Macaca fascicularis: one gene and its partners. The protein of the gene in region 1 purifies or fractionates together with the protein of each later gene. This does not show direct contact. Links are inferred from orthologs where the notes say so. Each region holds a gene or a part of one and is shown in the gene's direction. Other genes may lie near its edges.

The links.
Region 2: the proteins of PRR3 (region 1) and YTHDC2 purify together in Homo sapiens (co-immunoprecipitation; 3 studies listed by BioGRID and IntAct, with this or other methods). This does not show direct contact. The link is inferred for Macaca fascicularis from reciprocal best matches to the Homo sapiens genes PRR3 and YTHDC2.
Region 3: the proteins of PRR3 (region 1) and METTL17 purify together in Homo sapiens (co-immunoprecipitation; 3 studies listed by BioGRID and IntAct, with this or other methods). This does not show direct contact. The link is inferred for Macaca fascicularis from reciprocal best matches to the Homo sapiens genes PRR3 and METTL17.
Region 4: the proteins of PRR3 (region 1) and DHX37 purify together in Homo sapiens (co-immunoprecipitation; 3 studies listed by BioGRID and IntAct, with this or other methods). This does not show direct contact. The link is inferred for Macaca fascicularis from reciprocal best matches to the Homo sapiens genes PRR3 and DHX37.
Region 5: the proteins of PRR3 (region 1) and RPUSD3 purify together in Homo sapiens (co-immunoprecipitation; 3 studies listed by BioGRID and IntAct, with this or other methods). This does not show direct contact. The link is inferred for Macaca fascicularis from reciprocal best matches to the Homo sapiens genes PRR3 and RPUSD3.
Region 6: the proteins of PRR3 (region 1) and DAXX purify together in Homo sapiens (co-immunoprecipitation; 3 studies listed by BioGRID and IntAct, with this or other methods). This does not show direct contact. The link is inferred for Macaca fascicularis from reciprocal best matches to the Homo sapiens genes PRR3 and DAXX.
Region 7: the proteins of PRR3 (region 1) and RBMS1 purify together in Homo sapiens (co-immunoprecipitation; 3 studies listed by BioGRID and IntAct, with this or other methods). This does not show direct contact. The link is inferred for Macaca fascicularis from reciprocal best matches to the Homo sapiens genes PRR3 and RBMS1.

Annotation. Positions count from the first base shown.
Region 1 is NC_088378.1:142,096,965-142,101,115, reverse strand, and holds the start of PRR3 (proline-rich protein 3), read left to right. Parts: upstream 1-1,351; coding exon 1,352-1,457; intron 1,458-1,718; exon of another isoform or gene 1,719-1,874; intron 1,875-2,182; coding exon 2,183-2,245; intron 2,246-4,151. Other genes in the region: GNL1 (guanine nucleotide-binding protein-like 1), read right to left, coding at 119-191.
Region 2 is NC_088380.1:120,064,737-120,068,806, forward strand, and holds the start of YTHDC2 (3'-5' RNA helicase YTHDC2), read left to right. Parts: upstream 1-1,270; 5' UTR 1,271-1,465; coding exon 1,466-1,652; intron 1,653-2,820; coding exon 2,821-2,911; intron 2,912-4,070. UniProt on the Homo sapiens protein: 3'-5' RNA helicase that plays a key role in the male and female germline by promoting transition from mitotic to meiotic divisions in stem cells.
Region 3 is NC_088381.1:88,659,367-88,661,571, forward strand, and holds part of METTL17 (ribosome assembly protein METTL17, mitochondrial), read left to right. Parts: intron 1-122; coding exon 123-196; intron 197-839; coding exon 840-934; intron 935-1,419; coding exon 1,420-1,490; intron 1,491-1,670; coding exon 1,671-1,778; intron 1,779-2,036; coding exon 2,037-2,105; intron 2,106-2,205. UniProt on the Homo sapiens protein: Mitochondrial ribosome (mitoribosome) assembly factor. Binds at the interface of the head and body domains of the mitochondrial small ribosomal subunit (mt-SSU), occluding the mRNA channel and preventing compaction of the head domain towards the body.
Region 4 is NC_088385.1:132,122,749-132,126,248, reverse strand, and holds part of DHX37 (probable ATP-dependent RNA helicase DHX37), read left to right. Parts: intron 1-753; coding exon 754-849; intron 850-1,079; coding exon 1,080-1,165; intron 1,166-2,142; coding exon 2,143-2,287; intron 2,288-2,947; coding exon 2,948-3,024; intron 3,025-3,324; coding exon 3,325-3,500. UniProt on the Homo sapiens protein: ATP-binding RNA helicase that plays a role in maturation of the small ribosomal subunit in ribosome biogenesis. Required for the release of the U3 snoRNP from pre-ribosomal particles.
Region 5 is NC_088376.1:148,112,921-148,117,061, reverse strand, and holds the start of RPUSD3 (mitochondrial mRNA pseudouridine synthase RPUSD3), read left to right. Parts: upstream 1-1,341; 5' UTR 1,342-1,351; coding exon 1,352-1,452; exon of another isoform or gene 1,453-1,530; coding exon of another isoform or gene 1,531-1,615; intron 1,616-1,738; coding exon 1,739-1,875; intron 1,876-3,071; coding exon 3,072-3,116; coding exon of another isoform or gene 3,117-3,127; intron 3,128-3,231; coding exon 3,232-3,331; intron 3,332-4,141. UniProt on the Homo sapiens protein: Catalyzes uridine to pseudouridine isomerization (pseudouridylation) of specific mitochondrial mRNAs (mt-mRNAs), a post-transcriptional modification necessary for their translation.
Region 6 is NC_088378.1:138,379,511-138,383,706, forward strand, and holds the start of DAXX (death domain-associated protein 6), read left to right. Parts: upstream 1-1,396; 5' UTR 1,397-1,441; coding exon 1,442-1,494; intron 1,495-2,362; exon of another isoform or gene 2,363-2,415; coding exon of another isoform or gene 2,416-2,432; coding exon 2,433-2,622; intron 2,623-2,772; coding exon 2,773-3,604; intron 3,605-3,748; coding exon 3,749-3,957; intron 3,958-4,112; coding exon 4,113-4,196. UniProt on the Homo sapiens protein: Transcription corepressor known to repress transcriptional potential of several sumoylated transcription factors. Down-regulates basal and activated transcription.
Region 7 is NC_088386.1:55,711,549-55,715,048, reverse strand, and holds part of RBMS1 (RNA-binding motif, single-stranded-interacting protein 1), read left to right. Parts: intron 1-555; coding exon 556-606; intron 607-3,277; coding exon 3,278-3,388; intron 3,389-3,500.

The DNA of each region.
Region 1 (4,151 bases):
AGGGTTGGCGCGGTCCCACGACCCCCTCCCACGACCCCCAGAGGTGCAGCGGGCACACCCCTCCTTCCAGCTGTGCGGAAGCCCGAGCCCCGCCTCCTCCTCCAGCTCCCGCACTGACCTCTCTTCCGCTCCCGTTTGTCCTGCAACTGCTTCTTCTTTTGCTTCACGCTGAAGGGCTTCTTCCTCGGCATGGCCCGGACCAGTCACCTGGCCCGCCCTCCGCCGAGCTCCTGCCGCCTCAACTGACTGCCCCCCGGGGCAGTCCCCGCCGCAGGGGCCCGGGACCCTAGAGGAGGCGGAGCTAGCAGGTGACGTCAGCGGGCGGGCCCGACCGAATTGCCGCCGCGGCGGCGATGGAAGGCGGACAGGGGAGATACACAGTCACTTCCCTCCAGGAGCGAGGCGAAAGGATGATGCGGGGTGGGCTACTGGCACGTGAGAGCCAGTGGCACGGAGAGAGCACCCCGGCGGCGAGGAAGGAGGCGCGCGTGGGAGGACCAGGCTAACTCCGTCACGGACGCTACCAACTCGCGTTCGGAGGAGGGGGGAGCGCGTGTCATCACTACCTTGCGCTCCCGGGAGAAGCTACCACTCACCTGGAGGGGGCGGCGGAGCGGAGGGCGGGGCCTATTACCTAGGGGAGAGGAGGAGTGGACTCGCTGAGGCTACACTCCCAACCCCCAGGCTTGACCTTAGTGGAAAGCCGAGACGGTGCGTCCCGGGAATGAAGCCAGGTTGCTGGGCTACACCGGGGGCACGGTCAGAGGTCTTTAGGGGAGGGCGGCGGTCTGAAGAGTCCTGGCTGCCGACCTGCTGGGACCCAAATTCCTTGTGGGAACGATGATAAGGAGCAGGTTTACAGATCAGAAGTGCAAAAGCGGGCGAGAAGCGAAACCCAGGCGGGACAAGGGCTTTTGGAGGGAGGTCAAAGGGCACAAAGTTGTGCCTGCAGCTGTTACCATAGTAACCGAGGACCGGATGTGGCGATCTTACGGTGCGACAGTCCTCTTCTCAGGCCTTCTGGCCCGAGAGCCTGTTGACTCTGTGACACACTCTGAGGAGCTGGTTGTGGTGTTTTCCAGCGAGGGAAGAAGAGCGGAATTTTTTCAAAGCATTTATAGAAACGCAGCAAAGGGAAGGTGTGAGGTTGCCGCCATGCCTGGCAGAGACGGAGAGAGGCAGTTTACTCCAGAATGCGGCCGCCACAGATGTTCTCCGCAACCTTCCGGAAGTGGAATGGTGGGAGCTTGGGCATTGCTGCCCACCGACCCCCCGGAAGCGGAAACAGAATCCCCGCGTGCCCCTTCCTCACTACCCTCCAAATCCCGCTGCAGCCATTGCCGCAGCCACGATGCCGAAACGAAAGAAGCAGAATCAGCACCAGCCACCGACACAGCAGCAACCCCCACTGCCCGAGCGGGAAGAGACTGGAGATGAGGAGGATGGGAGTCCCATCGGTGAGGGGTCAGGGAGGGATGTGCACATGCCTGTCAAGCCCGTCCGGGCGAAGGGCTAGGGGCTAATAAGGTGCGAAGGAAGGGGCTCTAACGGAAGGAGGAAGGGCGCACGCGCTGGGTAGGGATGGCAGCAGGGCTGTCCCAAATGGAGCCTTGAACCAGGAGTTCTCTTACTGGAACCGTCAACCTCAATACGGCCCCAAACCTTTCTGGAACGCGGGGGTGGAGAGAGTAAAGAGCTCTTTTGCGCAGCCGCAGAACAGTAGGGGAAAGGGGCAGTAGAGATGTTGCAGATTGCGATGACTGGGTTGACAGTTTGTATCCGGATTTTGACTGAAAAGGTACAGGTGCCGCTTTCTCTAAACTAGTCCTCTGGCCGAGTGAAAGGAGAAGAGAACTGACTGGCCAGCAGTTAAGGTGAGGGATTGGTTTATGTCTGGAGACACTTAGGTTGTTTTGGATAGCGACGGTACGGTGAGGAAAAGAAAAAGTTGTATCTTTTCCTGCATTATCGCCTTTGATTGAATATCTACTTTTTGCAAACCCTGAAACAGCTTTGCAGAAAAAAGAGCAGATAGATGGGGTGAGAACTCCTAAGACTGCTGAAAATATACCTGACTTTACTGGTTGAATTAAGAAATGAGTAATACAAGAAAAACGCCTAAGAACAGAATCATCAGTCCTTTAATCCATTCTGATGACCATATTTTCATGTCTGCTCTTAGGACCACCCAGCCTTCTGGGCCCTCCCCCCATGGCCAATGGAAAACCTGGCGACCCTAAGTCAGGTGAGGAGGAAGGGGCCCTGATCCTTGTATTAGGTCGCGGATAAGACGGCAAGGGAGGGGATAAAACCCAGGAAGGACTTAAAAATCAAAAGGTCAGGGATTCCATCCCTAAATGAATGGAGAGAAGTTGTATATTTGCTGGCTGAAAAACTCAATGTTGTAAAAATGTCACTTCTTCCCAAATTGATGTATAGACTTCATGCATTCCAAGTCAGAACACCCATAATGTTTTTGTGGAAATACACAGTATTATAGGGAAATGCAAAATATCAAGGTGAGAGACTGTCAAAACAATCTTGAAGTGGGAGTGCGTACTATGAATATCAAGATTTGTAAGCTGGGCATGGTGGCATATGCCTGTGGTCCCAGCTACTCAGGAGGCTGAGGTAGGAGGATCCTTTGAGCCCAGGAGTTTTTGAGGCCACTTGGGCAACATAGTGAGATCCTGTCTATAAAAACAAGAAGGAAAAAAGACTTACTATAAAGCTACAGTAGTTACAACGATGCAGTTTGGACACAATGATACACATAAGTCAACAGGACTTATGTCCCGAAGAGTCCAATAACAGGCCCATACATGTGTGGACACTTCATTTATGATGAAGATGGAACTGGAAAGTTGGTCTTTTCAATAAATGATATTGGATCAATTGGATATTCATGTTAAAAAATGGAATTTCACCTTGTAGTCATAATCATATTGTATAATGGACTGTAGATCTAAGTATAAAAGGTAAGAGAATAATTATTCTAGAAAGTAAATGTATTTTCTAAGAGTAGCTAAGAGTTCTTAAACAGACAAGAAATGTAGGTATACACACTAACCATAAAGGAAAGATTGATAAATTGAACTCCATTAGAAAATATAAATTTGCGGCCAGGTGCAGTGGCTCACACCTGTAATCCCAGCACTTTGGGAGGCCGAGGCGGGCGAATCACGAGGTCAGGAGTTCAAGACTAGACTGACCAACATAGTGAAACCCCTATCTCTACTAAAAAATACAAAAATTAGCCGGATGTGGTGGTGTGCGCCTGTAATCCCAGCTACTCAGGAGGCTGAGGCAGGAGAATTGCTTGAACCTGGAGGCGGACGTTGCAGTTAGCCGAGATCGCACCACTGCACTCTAGCCTGGGTGACAGAGTGAGACTGTCTCAAAAAAAAAAAAAGAAAGAAAGAAAAGAAAATATAAACTTGCCAAATAACGCCATTAAGAAATTAACAGGAAGCTATACAATAGAAGATATTTGCAACAAATATAACCAATAAAGATCCTTTATCTATAATATATAAAGGATTCTTCCAGACAAGCCATTTGAAAAATCGATCAAAAAAAAAAAAAAAAAAGGACACCTTATTAAAATGGAGCTCTAAATGAACTAAAAGTCTAAATCAACAAGTACTCAATATCATTAATCGTCAAGTAAATGCAAGATAAAAATATACCACTTTGAAATTAGAACTCTTGTGTACTGCTGCTGGGATTATAAAATGGTGAAACTACTATATAAAACAATATGAAGAGATTCCTCTTAAGCAATTAAAAATATGTATGTATGACAAAAAAAATTAAAAATAGAACTACCCCAGAACTCCTGCTTCCAGGTATATAGCAAAAAAAAAAAAAAATGGAAAGCAGGGTCTTGACATATTTGCAGACTCATGTTCATAGCAGCAGTATTCACAATAACAAAGAGGTGGAAGCAGCCCACATGTTCACTGATGGAAGAATAAACAAAATGTGGCGTGTACATACAATGGATTATTATTCAGCCTTAAAAGGAAGAAAATGCTGTCACATACTACAACATGGATGAACTTTGAGGACTTTATGTTCAGTAAAGACATAGTGTATGATTCTGCTTATCTGAGGTGTCTAAAGTCAAATTCAGGGGCCAGGCGTGGTGC
Region 2 (4,070 bases), on another chromosome or scaffold:
CTTATCTCATATTTGCTGATGTTCCAATGGCCAAAGCAAGTTACATTGCCAAGGACAGAGTCCATATGGGAAGGAAGAATACAAGGGTGTGAACACGGGAATGTGTGATTCATCAAAGCCATACCTTTGATGAATTCAACAATTTACCATATTGTTACAAAAAAAAAAAACTCCCTAAATCTCAGCAGTTTACCACAACTAAGGATTATTTCTTACCCATGTCATATTCCAATGTGGGTTGGTGAGGACACTCTATCACACTCATTCAGGGGATCGGGAACCTGCTATCTATCTAGTGGTTCTACCGTTGTCTAAGAACTTCCAGAAGACCAGGAAAGGCAGAGAAGGGAGACTTCAAGGAAGGTGTTACAGACCAGTCCTGGAAGTGGTGTACATCAGTTCCAGCAACATTCCAATGGCCATGTGAACTCAGCCATGTGGCCCCCAGCTAACTGCAGGGGAGTTGGGAAATATCACTCCTAGGAAGAAAAGGAGAAACATTTTTTGATGAGTATCAGTATTCTATGCCACAGTTCATACTTCTTGTCACCAAATATTCCACCCCCTTTTTACCACACACAGAATACACGTATATCCTCCCCAGACACCTGGAATTCTATCTAGTCACTGCATCCAGGATCTGTTGTTGATACACAGTCCTCTTTATTAGATTCAGATGTGTATCCTTATTGCCAGGTAACTCATGAACTATGTAAATATGTACTACGTACCTGTCCCCACTCAGCTACCCTGTGTAGCGTGATAGAGCAAGGGTGGCATACTTGCATTAAAATCTCCCATTCAGAAAAGGGAAGAATGCAAGACACCTAACAGTCGCTCATTTTTTAGTATATGTATTTTTTATGATATTTTTCCAAATGTTGCACGGGAAATATATATACTAAAAAGTATTCGTTTATCTGAAATGCAAATTAATTAGGCATTCTGTATTTTTATTTGCTAAATCTGGCAACCCTCCTCCTACTATAATATAAATTCCATGAAGGTAGGAACCTTCTCCAATGTATATCGAAGGCGTGGCATAGTGCCAGGTCCACAGTGGGAGCCCATATATGCTTACTGCAGGAATTAATGAAGGACTAAACGAGATAGCAAGGGAGTGAATAAGAAGACGAGGAGCGACCCTTGGCGGGCGGCGGGGGAAGAGGACCGCACCACAGCTCGGCAGAGCCTCCCTTAGGCGCGCAGCGGCGGCCGCGCTGAGGTCACGGGCGCCGGCCCTGGTGACGTCATTACGCCCGCGCTCCCCGCCTTGCCGTGATATCAACGGCGCAGGTTTCACTTCTGCTGTTGTGGTGACTGAGGGCTTTCTGGTGACTTCAGCCCAACGCAGGCCGTCTGCGGAGCCGCCGGGTAGTGGCCCCGGAGTCCCACGGTCTCTGTCATTGGCTGTCACCCAGCAGGCCTGGCCGCTCCCGTGCGGGGAGACCATCTCTTCAGGGCAATGTCCAGGCCGAGCAGCGTCTCCCCGCGGCAGCCGGCTCCTGGCGGTGGCGGAGGCGGTGGCCCCTCGCCGTGTGGCCCTGGGGGCGGCGGGCGGGCCAAGGGGCTGAAGGACATTCGCATTGATGAGGAGGTGAAGATCGCAGTCAATATCGCGCTGGAGCGCTTCCGATACGGGGACCAGAGAGGTGAGGTTCCCGACAGGGACCCTGCTGGCCGTCAGGACACCCCCTTACCCCAGCGCCCCCCAAACCTGGGCCCACCGAGTGATGGGGTTGCCTCCGAAGAGGGAGGGAGGACCCGGGCCACCGTCCGGGTCGGGCCTCAGCGGCGGCACCCGGGTCTGGAACGCGGCTGTTAGCCCTGCGGTAAAATGCGAGGTGCTCTGCGCATTAGTGGGGTTATGGGCACTTTGCTCGCTAGCTGCAAGTGTTTTTTTCCCCCGCGTCTTTCAACAGCCTTGGGCGGTTAAGCCACCGTGTTTCAGATATTGGTTAGCCCTAACCCTTAAAAAAATTTTTTTAAGGGATTGTCACCTTAATTATGGCACGTTTAAGCTACAGATGTAGAAAAGCAGAAAGAAATCAAACATATAAGTAAGTGCACCGGTAATACGTTTGAACCCTGAAGCAATCACGCTACCCACTTAAACCTGTTTGGCACACGAAGCCTCTTCCACACCTCCTGAGGTTAGAAAGCCGCTTGTCTTGGATCATATAGTGCAGAACCAGCAACTGACCTGTGGTGACCTGTACAGTATGTTGAGGGCTCATTCGGACCTGCTGGCTTAATTAGGGGACCTCTTACTCTGGACTCTTTATAGTCAAAAATGGGGAATGTTCTGGACAGAGAGATTGTGAATTCACATTAAAAAAAGAGAAAGCCTCAGCAGTATATAACAAATCCCTCTGAAATAGTGAAATATGAATTCTATACAGTTTCGAAAGCAAAGACAATGGAGTTTCATGTTGAGAATTCATAATGTTTGAGCATATCTCATCATTTATTTTGTTAACAAGTAGGGACCAAGTTAAATATGTTCAGTCATTATACCAACTCAAAATTCCAGCACAAGTAAGAGGAGTCGTTTATTGGTGAACATCAGAGGCCTTTATCACATTTAGGTTTAATACATAGATGTCTTTTTATCAATATCAGAATTCTGGTAGACGTTCAGTAGTTATTAATAAAATATATTAATTTTATTAACTTAGAATATGAAATATAAAGTAAGTTAACCTCACATAAAGTATAAATTTGATTGTCTATGTTTTTCATATTTTATGTCTGTGTGTATTACTTGAGAGAAAATTGCCTACCTACAAATTGTACTGCTTTTATTTTTTTCTCATGTAGAGATGGAATTTCCTTCTTCTTTGACCAGTACTGAAAGAGCCTTTATTCATCGACTCAGTCAGTCTCTTGGTTTGGTCTCTAAAAGTAAAGGGTAAGCTGGTAGCATTTCTTATTGTTTTTAAAAAAAGATTATTTGCTCAAAAAAGGGAGAATGTTTCTGAGTACGTTTAAGTAGTTATTACTGTTTTAACTTCACATTCTTAATTGTATCCTGTGTAGATAAAATGATTCAGGTCTGTACCAAATTCACCTCTTTCCTCTTCCTTCTATCTATCTCTCCCTGCCTTTTTTGTTTTGTTTTCTTTTTCCCTAGGAAAATGCTTTTTCCTCTACCCAGCTTAGGTTCCTTGGCTGGGACCCTGCAAATTAGACTGATAAAAAACATATTAACAAGAGAAAAACATAAGCTTATTAAGATATGCATCATGCATACATAGGGGAAAACTCGATAGTAACTCAAACATGGGGCTTATGTGGCATCTTAATAAAGAACAATGAATTTATTTAAAAAATGACAAGACAAAGGAAAAGGACTTTGAACTTGTAGGTGCAGTAAATTGTGGGAAGGTATATATGGGGAAACTAATGGAAGGTATGTGTTGTTTTAGCAAGGTTGGTTATGTAGGTTCCTCTGGTGCTGTCTCTGGGTTAAGAGTCTAGAGTGGTTTCTCTTATTAAGAATAGTCCTGCCCTTTCTGGTAAAGCAGGGGAGGGCAGAGTTCTTTTAGGTCTGCTTCTTCTCAATTGCCTTCAGCTCAAAATAATGGGAGAGTGACATATATTTGGGTGGCATACTCTGAACTCTTTCAAAGGTAAATTTTAAGATGTAAGAAAAAAATAGTTTAAAAGTTGAAGTTGATTTCTTGAGAAAAATATTTTTATTTTTTGATAGAAATGAAATCTCATTTGAAATATTGATGTACAAAAGATAATAAGTACAATTATTTATGAAACTTATGTCTTTTACTGTTACTGCACTGTAATAGTAAGCTTTAGAACATATGTTCATTGTTTTCTTTCCTACCAAGTCAAGAATCGGATGATTAGAAATAATTTTAAAAAGTGGTACAGGAGGAAATTGTTTTGTTTTGTTGGGAGGATCACAGAGCTACAGTGGGGAAAAGTCATTTGAGCCATCCAAACTGAAAAACTCTAAATTCTGTGGACCTATTTCATTTTGTCAGTAAGGATGGTGGGATCAATATAAAGGAAGCTTTCTCACTGTTGGTGCTGTTGACATTTTGGACTGG
Region 3 (2,205 bases), on another chromosome or scaffold:
ATATTGAATCTCAAAAAGCATTCACATCTCACATCCTCTGTGATAGGCTCCTAATTCATATTTATCAAGGTCCTAAATAAGTATCTAATTACTCTGCTGTGGGATGTTGTATATTTCTTCAGATCCGGGCTCGAAATCCAGCATTTCAGCCACAAACTTTGATGGACTTTGGCTCGGGTACTGGTTCTGTCACCTGGTGAGTAACTTTTTTCAGCCCTGTCTTGGTCAATTTTAGCTCTAGAAAGCCATACTTACACCACTCAAAAATTAAGAGACTGGAAAACCAGAGGGAGAATAGGCAAGTTGGGAATCTATAATGTTTCTTCCATCAGATTGGGCAAGGCAGAAGAAGGTATATGGATTGGGGCCAGAACTTAAAGAAATGTCAAGTGAAAAAAAGGCGCATGTTTAGAAAAATTAAAAAGAAAAGGAATTATCAATCAAAGTTTTTTTGCCTACAAATAGTATTTTGAGTCTACCTTTATTTTTCTCTTTTTGGAGATGGTGTCTCGCTCTGTCACCCAGGCTGGAGTGCAGTGACACGATCTCGGCTCACTGCAGCCTCCACTCCCGGGTTCAAGTGATTCTCCTGCCTCCGCCTCCCAAAGTGCTGGGATTACAAGCATGAGCCCCTGCACCCAGCTGAGTCTACCTTTTTTTAAAAACAATTGTAAATAAAACAAGAAAATAACACTATTAGTTATTTTATTACTAACTAGACAACTATTTTAACATAACACTCTCTTTTCCCAGGGGTGGGGTTGGGTGTAAATGGGTCTCTTGTAGAGATGACTCTTGGTCATGGGAATTGGTGATTTATAATAATTTTGCCATCTTAGGGCTGCTAACAGTATTTGGGGCCAGAGCCTACGTGAATATATGTGTGTGGACAAATCAACTGCCATGCTGGCTTTGGCAGAAAAACTACTGAAAGGTGAGTACAAGAGCATTTCCAAAGTTGAGGGAGTTCAGAAAGCAAAGGGGTACTAGTAAAAGTGTTTTACTGGGAAGTAGAGAAGAGGGTAAAAATTAAGATGAATCTGGTTTACTTTTAAAGTTATGGTCAAGCAAAGGGCGGTATTAGAGGTTTCTGCTGGACTGAGGATGGGTTGGGTAAGATTCAAAGGACAAGAGGCCTAATATTCTCCCTGCCGTTTTTTTTTTTTGTTTTGTTTTTTGTTTGTTTTTAATTAGAACCTGTTACCCAGGCTGGTCTCAAACTCCTGGCCTCAAGCCATCCTCCCACTTCATCCTCTGGGGTAGCTGGGATTACAGGCATGCACCACCATATCTGGCTCATCCCTGCCCTTTTTGATAGACACTTTCCCTATTCTTGGGGCCATGTTTCTTATCTGGATATCTCTTCAGTTTATACCTAACTTCCTACACACTCAAAGTTGCCTCTTCTTTTCTCCACAGGTGGTTCAGAATCTGGGGAGCCTTATATTCCAGGTGTCTTTTTCAGACAGTTTCTACCTGTATCACCCAAGGCAAGTGGCAGTGTTTAGAATATTCTAAATGTGGAATGTGGCAGATGGAAAACTATGGCTTGAGCTTTGCAGCCCAGCACTGAGTGTCAGAAGATAAAAGAAATTTATCAGCTAGGACTTTATTATATTCTTGGGATGCAGAGATGTTGAGTGTGTCATGTTCTTTGTCTTGGTCCTCAGGTGCAGTTTGATGTAGTAGTATCAGCCTTTTCCTTAAGTGAACTGCCCAGCAGGGCTGACCGCACTGAGGTGGTTCAAACCTTATGGCGTAAGACAGGTCATTTCCTGGTGAGTTAAAATTCCTTGTTCTCCTTAAGTCTTAAAGCAGCTTCATGGATTTCATGCCTTTGCTTCTCTCGTTGTCTTCATTCTTCACCATTTTTCTCCTTTATGGGTTTCTTTATCCCTCTTTGAGGGTCTCCATCCTGATATATAATGCGTATTTCTTTTTAGGACCCCTTTTCCATCTATAATGCTTTTACAGAGCTACTGACATTTACACTTTCATGTAATTTAAGTCTTCATATTTTTCCCTTTTGTGAATAGGTACTGGTGGAGAATGGAACAAAAGCTGGGCACAGACTTCTCATGGAAGCCAGGGATCTGGTCCTTAAGGTAAGGCTTCTTCCCTCACTCCCCCACGCATATGTCACTAATTACTGTTATTCTTTTGAAAACTAAAGAGACTGTCATATATTGACAAGGGTGACTCTCA
Region 4 (3,500 bases), on another chromosome or scaffold:
CTGCCTCAGCCTCCCAAGGAGTTGAGATTACAGGTGCACACTGCCACGCCCGGCTAATTTTTTGTATTTTAGTAGAGATGGGGTTTCATCATGTTGGCCAGGCTGGTCTCGAACTCCTGACCTCAGGTGATCTGCCTGCCTCAGCCTCCCAAAGTGCTGGAATTACAGGTGTGAGCCACCGCGCCCAGCCTAATCAGAGACTCTTGTGTGCCGAATTCGGGCCCAAGGCTGACTTTCTTCATGTTAGGGAGGCAGGGAGCCGTGGGGGTGCTTCCCACCAAGCTTGAACTCCTCCTTCAAGGAAGCTGAGGTCGCTGCTTCATGATGCTCTGTCCTTGGTCTGCTTACAGCCTCTCGGGGCTCCCATCCGTTCTCTGGGAGACTGGGGCTGGCGGGAGGCGAGGCGGAAGCTTGGGCAGTGAGCCTTCCTGCAGCCTCGGGTCTCAGGGCAGCCACGGCGCTGTCACAAGTGTGGTGTGCAGGTTTTCACTTGAGCACATTTCTCAGGGCTTTTGGGTCTGTGCCTGGGAGTGGCGTTGCTGGGCTGTGTGGTCGCTGTGTTTGTTGAACTCCCTGGCAACAGCTCCTTCAGTCTGGGGGTGCTGCCTCCTGCTCGTCTATGTCTGTGTACCCCTGTCCTCCCGCATTATCCCTGGAGCCCCGCCTCTCAGAGCAGGGCCTGGCAGGTGCCCATTGCTAAGCAAATGTTTGTGAGTGACTGATGGATAACAGAGAGGCCCGTTCTTTCCGCAGGCGGCATCCTGGTGTTCCTGACGGGGCAGGCTGAGGTGCACGCGCTGTGCCGCAGGCTCAGGAAGGCTTTCCCACCCTCCAGAGCCCGGCCACAAGGTAAAGAGGACTCCCCGACCCGCGCTCTGCCCTGAGCAGCTGGGCCTGGCCTCACGCTCCCTGGCTGGGGTGCAGCTCCCGCCTCTGAGCTTCCCTCTGGGAGCGTCAGCACCTTTGCCGTCCCCCACCTCACCCCCGAATAAATGGCCGTGCCTTGAACAACAAAGAGCAGTGTGCTAGCGACCATGCGTGCCACACACGCCTTTCTCTCCAACCTGCCCCTTTTCCAGAAAAGGACGATGATCAGAAAGACTCAGCGCAGGAAATGCGGAAGTTTAAGAAGTCGAGGGCCAGGGCCAAGAAGGCGCGGACCGAGGTACGTGGGGGGCTGGCAGGGACTCCTGGAGAGTAAGGCTACGTTGTCCAGGATAGCAGCCACCAGCACCATGTGGCTGCTTAGGTTTAAGTGTAATTGGAATAAAATGAAATTAAAAATCCAGTTCCTGGTCGGGCGCAGTGGCTCATGCCTGTAATTCCAGCACTTTGGGAGGCCAAGGTGGGAGGATCGTTTAAGGCCTAGAGTTTGAGACCAGCCTGGGCAACATGGTGAGACCCTGTCTCTACAAAAAATTTTTAAAATTAATCCAGTGTGGTGGCACATGCCTGTGGGCCCAGCTGCTCAGAGGCTGAAGTGGGAGAACCATCTGAGCCCAGGAGGTCAAGGCTGCAGTGAGCCGTGATGGCCCCACTGCACTCCAGCCTGGGCAACAGAGTGAGACTCTGTCTCTGAAAAGGAAAAGAAGGCCAGGCGTGGTGGCTATGCCTGTAATCCCAGCACTTTGGGAGACTGAGGCAGGTGGATCACCTGAGGTCAGGAGTTCAAGTCTAGCTTGACCAACATGGCGAAACCCCGTCTCTACTAAAAATACAAAATTAGCCAGGCATGGTGATATGCGCCTGTACTCCCAGCTACTCTGGGTTGGCTGGGCTGGGAGGTGCTTTCCTCTAGCCTCTGCATGAAGGCACCGTGGGTCTTGCGGTCCGTGACAGTAGCGTAAACGCTCAGCCGTCTCCAACTTGCCTGTTGCACTACTGATGTGTCAGGCAGTGATCCAAGTTCTTCACATGTGTTCACACAACCCTCCCACCAGCCTGAGAGACAAGGTCTGTGATAGTCCCCATTGTTTAGGTGGGGACACTCAGACAGGAAGAGATAGTTATGTGGCCTGCCCCGGGTCACACGGCCCGTGGGTGTGGACTGGGGCTTCCACATGAGGGCACCTGTCTTCCTGCACATGCCTCATCCTCACACCCAGGGTCCCTGCAACCCGGGTGTCTATGTGTTCGCCGTAGGTGCTGCCCCAGATCAACTTGGATCATTACTCAGTGTTGCCGGCAGGCGAAGGCGATGAGGACAGGGAGGCGGAAGTGGACGAGGAAGAGGGGGCCCTGGACTCCGACCTCGATCTGGACTTGGGGGATGGCGGGCAAGATGGAGGTGTGTTCCTAGCCCCGCTTCCTGCTCACGTGCATTAGCTCTGCCCTGAGGCTGTGCCCAGAGCCCTTGTGGCCCCCTGGGGGCCGGGGTTCTAGCAGCTTTGTCCTCGATGCTTCCTGAGTTCTTTGAAAGTGCCGGGCACGAGGAGGCCTGGAACATTTGCCGTGCTGGATGTAATGGGGCTGCCAACCCCTTTGCTGACAGGTGCGGGTCTCCAGGGCCCAGGGGTGTTGCCCCGCTCCGTGTGCTCGCAGGAACCCCTGAATGTAGATGGACCCAGTGCCCTGCTGTCAGCCAGGGGCTGAGTGGGGCAGCAGAGGGTACCCCAGTACTGGCTCAGCCTGAGCCTACCACAGTGCTGCCAGGACACGAGGAGCAGAGTCAGGCCCCCAGGATCCATGCCAGGGATTTAGAGGAGGAGATTATGCAGCACAGCAGGGGTTCAGATCCGACTCAGGGCAGTAGAGACCAGAGAGCCCCTGGGAACCTCTCAGCAGTCCCCCCAGGTTTGGCCTGGCTGGTTCCAAGGGAAGCCTCCTCAGCAGGGCAAAGAAAGGAGTTCTGGTGGAGCAGCCTACGGGTGCAGGGCAGCTGTGGCTGGCTCCTGCCTGTGGGCATCTGTCCCGGCCCGGTTGCCAGTAACGTCTGCTTTCCCTCCAGGTGAGCAGCCGGACGCCTCCCTCCCACTCCACGTGCTCCCGCTGTACTCTCTGCTGGCCCCAGAGAAGCAAGCACAGGTAACCGTGCTGGGCCGGTGCCCAGCTTTTGGGGCACTTTTAAGGACATTGCAGTGAGGTTAGTCAAGCCCTTGGTCCTCTCCATCTGCTGTTTGACCAGCATCCCCAGAGTTTTGAGGAATATTGAGGTAGTTTTGGAGAACAGGGAACAGTCCTGCAAGGCACTGGGTCCCAGATGGGGTGGCTTGTCCTTGCTACCTCTCCAGCACACCAGCCTGGGTGGCTCTGTCCTTGGACCTCCATTCTACGATTTCGTTCCTGATTCTGGTGTTTTCCTGCCATCCCCTCCCTGAATCCTAGGTCTTTAAGCCTCCACCGGAGGGGACTCGGTTGTGTGTTGTGGCCACCAACGTTGCCGAGACGTCTCTTACAATCCCTGGCATCAAGTACGTGGTGGACTGTGGGAAGGTCAAGAAGCGTTACTACGACCGCGTCACCGGCGTGTCCTCCTTCCGCGTCACCTGGGTCTCCCAGGC
Region 5 (4,141 bases), on another chromosome or scaffold:
ACAGCCCAGCGCCACACCCTGGGCCTGGTAGTTAAAGATTCACCCCTGACGTAATCCGTTATGTTATCTATAGATTACAGATATTGTATAGAAAAGTACTGTGAAAATTCCTATCCTGTTTTGTTCCGATCTAATTACCGGTGCATGCAGCCCCCCAGTCACGTACCCCCTGCTTACTCAATTGATCATGACCCTCTCACATGCACCCCTTTAGAGTTATGACCCCTGAAAAGGGACAGGAATTGCCCACTCAGAGAACTCGGCTCTTGAGACAGGAGTCTTGCTAATGCCCCCGGCCGAATAAACCCCTTCCTTCTTTAACTCGGTGTGTGAGGAGTTTTGTCTATGGCTTGTCCTGCTACAGTACTCCATCTCATCTTTTTACTTTGCATTTCCAGTTTGCCTTGCACAAGGTCTCTTCTTCCTCTGTGGCTCCTCCACTTACATGTGTCTACCTGCTAATTGGACAGGAATATGCACACTAGTTTTCCTTACTCCCAAAATTCAATTTGCAAATGGGACCGAAGAGCTTCCTATTCTCCTCATGACACCGACACGACAAAGAAGAGTTATTCCACTAATTCCCTTGCTTGTCAATTTGGGACTTTCTGCCTCCACTATTGCTCTTGGTACTGGAATAGCAGGCATTTCAACCTCTGTCACGACCTTCTGTAGTGTTTCTAATGACTTCTTTGCTAGCATGACAGACGTATCATAAACTTTATCAGTCCTTTAGGCCCAAATTGACTCCTTAGCTGCAGTTGTCCTCCAAAACCACCAAGGCCTTGAGTTACTCACTGCTGAAAAAGGAGGACTCTGTATATTTTATTTTATTTATTTATTGAGATGGAGTCTTGCACTGTCCCCCAGGCAGGACTGCAGTGGCCGGATCTCAGCTCACTGCAAGCTCCGCCTCCTGGGTTCACGCCATTCTCCTGCAGCAGCCTCCCAAGTAGCTGAGACTACAGGTGCCCACCACCATGACCGGCTAATTTTTTGTATTTTTAGTAGAGATGGGGTTTCACCGTGTTAGCCAGGATGGTCTTGATCTCCTGACTTTGTGATCTGCCTTCCTCGGCTTCCCAAAGTGCTGGGATTACAGGCATGAGCCACCGCGCCCGACCAAGACACATTTTCTTAACAGATCAAATTCGTCTGCCTGAGCTCTCCCTAAAAGCACAGGCCCGCAATGCTGTATTTCCTTCCTGGGAGGAGGAAAAGCCCGCCTCCTCCGGCTCTGAGTCCCGCCTCGTCACCATTCCGATTGACACTCAAGCTGACCAATCAGCGCGCTGGCGGGAGCGTGGCGCTGCTCCTCTGAAAGCACATGCGCACTGTACTGACTCGGGAGATGGACGGCCGCCGTGTTTTGGGTCCGATCTGGAGTGGCTGGCGGTGGGGCCTGGCTGTAAGCACAGCGCCCGAGGACGCAGGCTTTGGCATCGAAGCCCGGTGATTAAGTACCCCCTCCCTCATGCGGGACGGAGGCTAGGGCAGCGGGAAGGCACGTGCGGGATCTGCATCAGGTAGATGTTACCCGAAAACAGCCCCTTGGCCTCTCTCAGCCTCGGTGCCCTCGACTGTAGGATGGGACCGGTCTACCTGAATTTTCGAGGTCAGCCTAGACATTGTGAGGCATTTGTCAGAGGCCGCAGGTTTTGGGAAGAGGCGTCGGGAGATAGGAATGGGCGGCACCTCGGGACGGAATGACTCCCATTGCTTCTCCCTCGTTGTCCAGGCATCACAGGCAACCCCGCGGCTCCCGCCTACGGTCGGGGCCCCTCGGAGACCAGCCCTTCCCGGGGCTGCTGCCAAAAAACCTCAGTCGGGAGGAGTTGGTTGATGCGCTGCGGGCAGCCGTGGTGGACCGGAAAGGTGAGGGGTGAGAGGCACGGCCGCACAGGGATCGGGAGGGGACTGCCGCGGAGTGAAGCCACGGGATCAGCCCTGCTTCTGCCTCCCACTAGCAGCATGAGCTGGGACGAGCCACCTAATTTGCACCCTCTCCCCGCTTTTAACCTTACTGCCATGATGCAGTAGGGTTAAGAGTGGGGAGAGGATGCAAATAACTATCAAGCCTTGCACATAGCCGGCGCTCAGTTACAGGAGTTGCTATACTAGATTATTGTTTATTGGCCGCGGTGGCTCACGCCTGTAATCCCAGCACTTTAGGAGGCTGACGCGGGCGGATCACCTGAGGTCAGGAGTTCGAGACTAGCCTGGCCAACATGGTGAAACCCCGTCTCTACTAAAAATACAAAAATTAGCCAGGTGTGGTGGCGTCCGCCTGTAATCCCAGCTACTGGGGAGGCTGAGGCAGGAGAGTCACTTGAACCCGGATAGCAGAGGTTGCAGTGAGCCGAGGTCGTGCTACTGTGTTCCAGCCTGGGGCAACAGAGCAAGACTCAGTCTAAAAAAACGACAACAAATTATTGTTTATTGATAGACAAAACACAGGCTTTGAGTCAGACATCTAGGCTCTGTGATCAGCTTGCTGTGTGGCTTTAGGAAAATAACTGAATTTCTCTGAACCCCACTCTCCATTCAGTGATTTATTTCTTTTCTCAACTATTTCTTAAACATATGCTGTGTTCCAGGCACTGTTCTAGGCAGGTATACAGTGCTGAAAAAGATAGATATGGTTTCCGCTCTCAAGGGAGAAATGGATTTCTCTCTAATGGGAGAAATGGGTGTCAGAAAATAAATGAACAAGTTACTAGTGATAAGTGCTATGCATAAACTGAAACAGGATGTTCTAATGGTGAGGAACTGTAGGAAGAGGGCAGACGTTGGATTGGAGATTCAGACCTCTCTGTGATGTGACATTTGAGCCAAGGTGATAGGGAGCCAGACCTGGGAAATTTGGGGACAGAGGAAACAGTAAGTGCCAAGGCTCTGAGGTGGCAGAGGAACAGAAAGCAGTTCAGTTTGGTGTGCGGTAGATAAGTCACGTCTGAGAGTCATGATGGGGCCATGTGCTAAGATGTGTGAGAAAGTGCTCTGGAAATTCTTAAGTGCTGCATAAAGGGTTACTGTTGCTTTTGCTGATGTTCATGTGATGTATGTTTCAGGACCTCTAGTGATGTTGAACAAGCCACAGGGTCTACCAGTGACAGGTACAGGCCGGGTATGTGGGAAGGGAATGCAGCAGAAGGGGGTTTTGTGTCTGGGGAGGGAAAAGTGAAGGCGTGAAGCTTTGGCCTCTTGTAATTTTTCTTTCTTACTTTCCAGGAAAATCAGGAGAGCTGACGTTGTTGTCAGTGCTGCCAGAGCTGAGCCAGTCCCTGGGGCTCGGGGAGCAGGAGCTTCAGGTTGTCCGAGCATCTGGGAAGTAAGTGGTAGGGGTGATAGGAAGCTAGGAGTACAGGCATCCATCTATGGTGGGGAAACAGCTGCTTTGGGATATGCTGACACATTTTCCATAGGAAGGTTTGAGATCGTAGAGGTGGATACAGGTACAGTGAAGAGGAGGAAGCTGATGACTCTGGGTTCAAATCCTCAAGTACAAATGGTGTGATACCAGGCAAAGCATGACACCTCCCTGACGCTGGGCACAGTGACTCACGCCTGTAATCCCAGCACTTTAGGAGGCCAAGGCAGGAGGATCACTTGACCCCAGGAGTTCGAGACCAGCCTGGGCAAAATAGACCCCATCTCTGGAAAAACAACAACAACAAAACCTTCCCTGAGGCCGGGCATGGTAGCTCATGCCTGTAATCGCTAGGACTTTGGGAGGCCGAGGTGGGAGGATTGCTTGAGTCCAGGAGTTCAAAACCAGCCTGGGCAACATGGCAAAACCCTATCTTTACTTAAAAAAACAAAACAAAAGAAACACACACACACACACACACACACACACACACACACACACACAAGCTGGGCATAGTAGCACATGCCTGTAGTCCCAGCTGCTCGGGTGGCTGAGATGGGAGAATCACTTGAGCTCAGGAGATGGCAGCTGCAATAAGCTGAGATCCTGCCACTGTACTCCAGCCTAAACAACCTGAGTGAGACCCTGTCTCAAAAAAACAAAACAAAACAAAACCCTCCCTGAGCCTCAGTTCCCCTAATGGTAAAATAGAGAAAATAATACCTATGCTTAGTGTGCAGTCATTTCTCCATGACTGTACTCGTGGCAGGC
Region 6 (4,196 bases), about 3.7 Mb from region 1:
AAAAGGAGAAGTGAAGAATGAGAACCTGTACTGCAGGTGTTTCCTTAGGAAGACCAATTTTGGGAAAGTTGAGGTTCTGGAAATTAAATCCCTTACATCTCCCAAGTTCCAGTCCTCGCGGAGGTTTTTTATGTTCCCCATTTTGAAAGCTGTAGACTTTGACGACTGGAGAGAAGTGATGTGGGATTGTTCAATGGACGGGTGTTTGCGATTCTATGACTCAGCGTTAGGGATGTAGTAAATTCTGTGAACCTAGTTAAGCGGCAAGATGCCCACCACTTGTGGAAATGGGAATCTTTGCGATTGGGACCTTGTTAATCTTTCTGGTTTCCTCATAAGCTCACCTCTGGACCCAGCCTTGCCTCCACGACTCCCTCCAACCTCCCTAAACTCAACGAGGTGGGTATCAAGTCTGTTTCTTCATCCTTCATTCTTTTTTAACCTCTCCCAGAAGAGGAGGAGGAAACCCAAAGTATTTTATGAGCCTCATTTCGTTTCACAGCAGCCCTTGCAGAGGCTCAAACTCTCCTCCAAGCCCCACCCCATCATCGCCCATCCGCAGACCCTGGGCCTCCACGACAAAGCACGGCCTCACAGTCAGCACCGACGGCCCTTCGAGGACCCCCTCTGGAGGAGAACCATTCAGGTCCCAACCGTCTGGTCATTAGTTCTGTGGTGAAGCTTGAAAAGCAAATCAGCAACAATAGTAATAATAATAACACTTTTGTATGGCGCATTGTGCTTATTTGTACGCATGTGTTATAACGACTGTGGGACGCAGCACCTGGCAGTAGAAGCAGCTGCTGGACAGCGGCAAGGAGCGCGCCGCCCTTGCAGGGGAAGGGGCTGGGTCAGCCGAATAAGCCGTGGAAATGGGAACCTGGGGGACAGGAAAGCAGGGCCAGATAGCTTGCCAATAGCCTAGTTGAAGATAAAGGTTTTACTTCCCTTTTAAGAGACTTCTGCCATTCCCTGAAACCCTACGCAGCTTTGGAAAGCCCAATTCCTAAACCACCCTGTTCGGTTCCCCTGCCCCTCCTTGGAAAGGAGGCTCCGTTCTCCCCACGCGCTACTCGCCGGCGGTTGGACCCCAGGGAGGAAGTTTCTGATTGGCGGAGTCAGAGAAGCACCGGGTGAAAAGAGCTCCTCCGGCTGCGCACCGAAGTTCTGGCGTAGCCAGCGCCGTACGGCAAAATGGCGGCCCCCAGCTGCTTTGGGACGCCCGGGTTCGGGGAGACAAACTCCGACCTGGAAGACCGCGCTGACTATGTGGGCGGCACTGGAGGTGTTCGCGGGGCGGGCCTACGGCCGCTTCCGGCCACAGGAAGCCTTGTTCCGTACGACAATATGGCGGCGCTTAGTTGCATGCAGGCGGAAACTCTGTTGCTTCCGGTCCGTAGTGGGGCCTGCGGTGGGAGTGGGAAGGAAGGCGGAGGGAACCATGCGAGGTTCTGAGATCTGCGGCGAGGGTCGCCTCGAGAGACGGTTTCTGAGGTGGGGGCCGGATGGTGCGGGGATCAGAGGCGGGGGCGGGGATATCGAGGCAGAGGTATTGGGGAGAGCCGGGCTCTGAGTCTGAGGGGAAAACTGTGGTACCTTCCTATCCCTGAAAGGGAGTGGGGCGGCCGGGGGCTGAACTGGGGGAGGGGGATTTGGCGGGAAGCGCATCTACCGGACCGGCCGGACCCAGGGTTGGGATCTAAGAGGAATCGGGAGAGCGTAGCGCGGTGCGGGGGGACTTCTAATTAGTTACAGGTCTCCGAGAGAATGGGGAAAATTAGGGTGGGGTGAAAGGGAGGGGACTTGGGTAAAATATCTTCAACCTAAAGGCCCAGTTTGAGGAGACTCATCTGAGGGTGAAATACGGAGATAATTCAAGGAGGGGAAAAGAGAACGGACTGTTGGGAGGGAACCTCTTTCACCTCAGAGAGTCTAGGAGTTGGGGTGATCAGGATGGGGCGGGTGTGGGGTTGACTTGTTTGAGGGCAGAGGGGGCAAACACATGAGGTGGCGCCCACAGGAGTGTGTTGTCTGTGCCAGGGGGTGTCAGGACGATTTAGGGTGCAGTGTGGGAGAAAGAACCAACTTGCCAACTCTGAGAAAGAGTGGGGAAATGCAACAGAAAGACCGGAAATCGACGTGAGGGGTGGAGCAGAAGGTGGCAACTTAAGGTGTGGGGGGGTTTGCCCCCCCCACACACCACTTGAAGGGCCCGAAAAGCATATAGAACTAATGGTTATTGAAATCAGGTGGTGAAGACAGTGTTGGTCAGGGCTGAAACCCAAGGAGTTCAGAAAATGCGTGAGGTGAAGGGATGGGGCTATGCTGGAGGGGCTCATTCTGAGGCCCCATCCCCTTCCAGCAGGAATTCTGAAATCCCCACCACTTCCTCCTTCCGGGGGATTTGATTCCCCCATGGCCACCGCTAACAGCATCATTGTGCTGGATGATGATGACGAAGATGAAGCAGCTGCTCAGCCAGGGCCCTCCCACCCACTCCCCAGTACAGCCTCACCAGGGGCAGAAGCCCCTAGCTCTTCTGAGCCTCATGGGGCCAGAGGAAGCAGTAGTTCGGGCGGCAAGAAGTGCTACAAGCTGGAGAATGAGAAGCTGTTCCAAGAGGTGAGCTTTAGCGGGGAAGATCGTTGTACCCCAGGGAGGGGGATGGCTGACTGGCTCTCCTGTCCTTTCTTCCCCACTAACCCCACTCCCCTTTCTCTCAACCCCCTCCCTTGTCTCTCTTCCCCTTCCTTCTTCCCCTGAACCTTCTAGTTCCTTGAACTTTGTAAGACGCAGACAGCGGACCACCCTGAGGTGGTCCCATTCCTCTCTAACCGGCAGCAACGTGCCCACTCTCTGTTTTTGGCCTCGGCGGAGTTCTGCAACATCCTCTCTCGGGTCCTATCTCGGGCCCAGAGCCGGCCATCTAAGCTCTATGTCTACATCAATGAGCTCTGCACTGTTCTCAAGGCCCACTCAGCCAAAAAGAAGCTGAACTTGGCCCCTGCTGCCACCACGTCCAATGAGCCCTCTGGGAATAACCCTCCCACACACCTCTCCTTGGACCCCACAAACGCTGAAAACACTGCCTCTCAGGCCCCAAGGACCCGTGGTTCCCGGCGGCAGATCCAGCGCTTGGAGCAGCTGCTGGCGCTCTATGTGGCAGAGATCCGGCGGCTGCAGGAAAAGGAGTTGGATCTCTCAGAATTGGATGACCCAGACTCCACATACCTGCAGGAGGCACGGTTGAAGCGTAAGCTGATCCGCCTCTTTGGGCGACTATGTGAGCTGAAAGACTGCTCTTCACTGACCGGCCGTGTCATAGAGCAGCGCATCACCTACCGTGGCACCCGCTACCCAGAGGTTAACAGGCGCATTGAGCGGCTCATCAACAAGCCAGGGCCTGATACCTTCCCTGACTATGGGGATGTGCTTCGGGCAGTAGAGAAGGCAGCTGCCCGACACAGCCTTGGCCTCCCCCGACAGCAGCTCCAGCTCATGGCTCAGGATGCCTTCCGAGATGTGGGCATCAGGTTACAGGAACGACGTCACCTCGATCTCATCTACAACTTTGGCTGCCACCTCACAGATGACTATAGGCCAGGTAGGGGGTTAGTGGGATGCCTCTCAGTGACCCTTATATGTCAGGTATGAGGCGGATGGGGCATCTCTCTAGTCCTTTCTAGGGTTTGTACTCTTCTAGTCCCTTCCACGGCTGAGTGCTCTGACTTTATATTTTCCCACGTAGGCATTGACCCTGCACTATCAGATCCTGTGTTGGCCCGGCGCCTTCGGGAAAACCGGAGTTTGGCCATGAGTCGGCTGGATGAGGTCATCTCCAAATATGCAATGTTGCAAGACAAAAGTGAGGAGGGCGAGAGAAAAAAGAGAAGAGCTCGGCTCCAAGGCACCTCTTCCCACTCTGAAGACACCCCCGCCTCCTTGGATTCTGGTGAGGTGTGGATGGGGTAAAGCCTTCAGAGAGACATTGTCCTTCCCCTGCACTGGCCACCAGGGAGTCCAGGTTGACTGATGGGGGAGCATGAGAAGGAATGCAAGAACCAAACCCTCTAGGGCAAGGGATTCCTTAGAGAAACTTCTTTGTCCCCCAGGGCCCTAGTGGAATGGCATCCCAGGGGTGCCCTTCTGCCTCCAAAGCTGAGACAGATGACGAAGAAGATGAAGAGAGTGATGAG
Region 7 (3,500 bases), on another chromosome or scaffold:
TTCAGATTTTTATTTTCTGCACTAACTAGAAATTGTTGACCACAATACAAGATTTCTAAAACTAATGTCCTAGGTATCAAAGAGAAATTGAATTTCGTTATTTGTATTAAATAAGCACATACTTTAAGGGTTAACTTCTAATAAGATGTGCTGGAATTAATTGTCATTCATGTGTAATTCTAAAGCACCTAGTTCATACCTTGATTGTTAACACTTTTCACTCTTTATTTGAGTTGTGTTTATCTCCCTTGCATAGATAGTAAATTTCTTGGGGGTGGGGCCCATGTCTTTTTCGCCTTTTTCTCTTTGTTGCCTGATACTCAACAATTACTTCTTGAGTGGGCAAATAGAAATTGTTTCTGAATAATCATTTCATCCTATTCAGAGTGACCAGTTTGCCAAGAATTCTAACTGCCTTAATCTTTTTAATCATTGATAGTATTGTTTCCTTGTTTTCTTTCTGTAGATTTTTAACATGATTAAAAAGAGTTCTAAAGAAATAGGTAAGCTTTACAATGAAAATCAATATTTCTTTCAAAATCCTCCCTTTTCTAGGTGCAAAGTCCTTCTTGGATGCAACCTCAACCATATATTCTACAGCACCCTGTAAGTTTTTCATCTTAATGACTTTGTATTTTACAAGTAAGTTATGTGTATATTCTCTCTGGGTTAAAACCATTTGCCAAGGGTGGTATAGGATTTGGGAAATTTTAAACATGGAATACGAGAGTGTACAAATTCATTATAAAACTTCTCATCCTTGTCGTAAAACAACTTGGTAGAAGATTATTAAGTTAAATTTTCTATAAGAACTTAAAATGTATCATATTTGAGGCAGGGCACCATTTTCTTATTCATACCAGCTCTTTAGAGATCATTCAGTTGAGAGGCTACATTTTTAATAGTACTTGGGATAAAACTGCTCTCATTTTTTACATTCTGTTTAATGCAGATATAAAGTTCAAAACCAAGATAAGATTTTCATCAGTGTTACTTATCCTTTCTATGGAGATTATAAACACTAAAGTGGTAGCACATTATTTGGTAAATAACAAATGTGATTTCTTAATCACGTGAGCATTCATATATATCACTTTTTTTATTGAGTGAGTTATACTTTACCTTATTATATAGTGTATTTCATGTGTTTTTCAAAGACACATAAGATCTAGTTTGTGGAATATCTAGTTTGTGGAAGAAGGGTTTGAAAATTGAAAAATACATATGGAGAACAAAGTTACAATAAGGCTAAGGATGTCCAACACAGTTACCTGCATGCTCACATGAGAAAATCACAAATTTGGCTCTAAGCTTTCTAGTAACTGATGCAAAATGGGAATCCTGGTAAGCAATATGGTTCACAATATGTGTAAAATAAAAACAGATTTGGTTGCTTAGAAAAAGAACTCTATTCTTGGCCTTATGTTCAGACAGCAATTTGTCTTGGGATACCTTTTAAAGTGGATACTGCAACGTAAGACCATGTGTATGAAATAGCAATCCAGGGATAACAGGTTCTGAATGAGAAATTGCTGAGATGACTTTTAAGAAGCAGATAAAGCATGTTTAGGTGATGACATAGGAGAGGCGCTTTCTGATATATGTATATGTTTTGTGTGATATATGCACATACATATAGATCTATACATGTGCACATACATAGACACATCTTCAAACCCACACTTACCTGTACATGTGTACATAATATACATGCACTGATCCACACATGCCCGTAGCAATCTATATCCCTGATACTCCATGCTACCCTATTTTGGAATGCTTGGAAATCAATCTACTTTGAGTTTGAGGACTTCCTATTACAGATGGTGCCAATGAATGAGAAAAAAGAGCAGGAAGCTCCTCCACCGTCTTCTAGGCTTCTGAGTCATTTCCGTGTTACCACATGCTTTTTGATGATGCATGTTAAAAAAAAAAAAAAATCTAACAGAATGTATTAAGGACAAACATTATCTCTGACCCACATCTATATCTTTTTTTCTTTTTGGCAACATTTGAGAAAAAGACTGCACGTATCTGAGCTTAACATCTTTGAGGAGACATTAGGAATGTACGCAGAAGGTTGCTATCTGAGGATTCATTACCCTTCCCCACCCAGCTTTACACTGCCTGATTTAAATCAGAATTAAAGTGCCTGTACACCTAAATCTGTCCTAGATTGTCTATCTAATTATCAATAAATAACAGTTGTATTTAAGGGATGCCAGGTACAGTGATACCAAAACATATGTTAGTAGTTACAGAGCATGTCAGAATACTTGCATTCTCAGATAATGAGGTGATTGCAAAAAGTCCAAAAATAAAGAGTTCATTAAATTTTGGTTTATACAATCAGTGTAACCATTTAAAAAATGATAATAATGATAATTTTTCAATAAGCTAGGTGAATGGTTAGAATAGAATGCTAAGTTAAGAGCAAAAACCTAGGATATGAAATTGTTGATGCGCTCTGATTGAACCTGTACAGAAACACACAGAGGCTAGAATCTGGCAGTAGTACCCTGACATTGCTAACAGTGGTTGTATTAGACTGGCTGAGTTAGAAGCGATTTTTTTCCCTCCTATTTTCTTGAATATATTTAATGTGATTTTAATGACCAACATTTTTTCAAATGAAATAAAAGATTCTGGACTCAGATTATTATTCATATCCTAATTGTCTTCCCTCCCAGGCACCAAAGTGTAACTTAAAGTTCTGAGAAACACTGAGTGAATGAAGAAATGTACTCTCAATCCTAACAACCTGATGTTGAACCAAACGATTATCTGGATAGAACATTATTAAACAAAATACTGTACTGATCTTATTAAATATAATACATTGTTTTGTGACTGGAGAAAACATCAACTGCCTTTTTTTCCAGTTTTTTTTTTTAAGAAAGCATTTTGTAACCCTAGACAGGCAGTGATAATCAGTTTGTTTTTCCTATGATAGCTCCTCCTGCTGGACTAGCTTGCTTCCAGTTACAGGAAGTGAAGGGAAAGGGAGGGAAAGGAGGGACCAGTGGCTTTAACACAGGGATTGTTGTGAAGTGAATGCCAAGATATCATTTCCCCTAATGCTCTTACAAAACTCTCAGGAAGAGCAATTTAGAAGATTTTTAGGAAACTGTTTATGATGCCATTTGCAAGATTGAGGGAGCTTGTTTTTGCTTCACATTCTTAAACAAACTAAGGTATTTCCTTTGCAAAAGGTAATTACAGGATCTTGACTCTTGCCTCAGTTTGTCTAATTTTGCTCTTGTCTCCAACTTCCCAGGGTGCCGTGTTAACTCCCTCAATGGAGCACACCATGTCACTACAGCCCGCATCGATGATCAGCCCTCTGGCCCAGCAGATGAGTCATCTGTCACTAGGCAGCACTGGAACAGTAGGTGGCAAATTAGTATCATGTGTCTCTGTAAACAGAGGAGGGTAAATTAATGCAGCCTGTATCTTCCCTATCAAATGACAGGCTCTATGATAACAGATTATGTCTAATC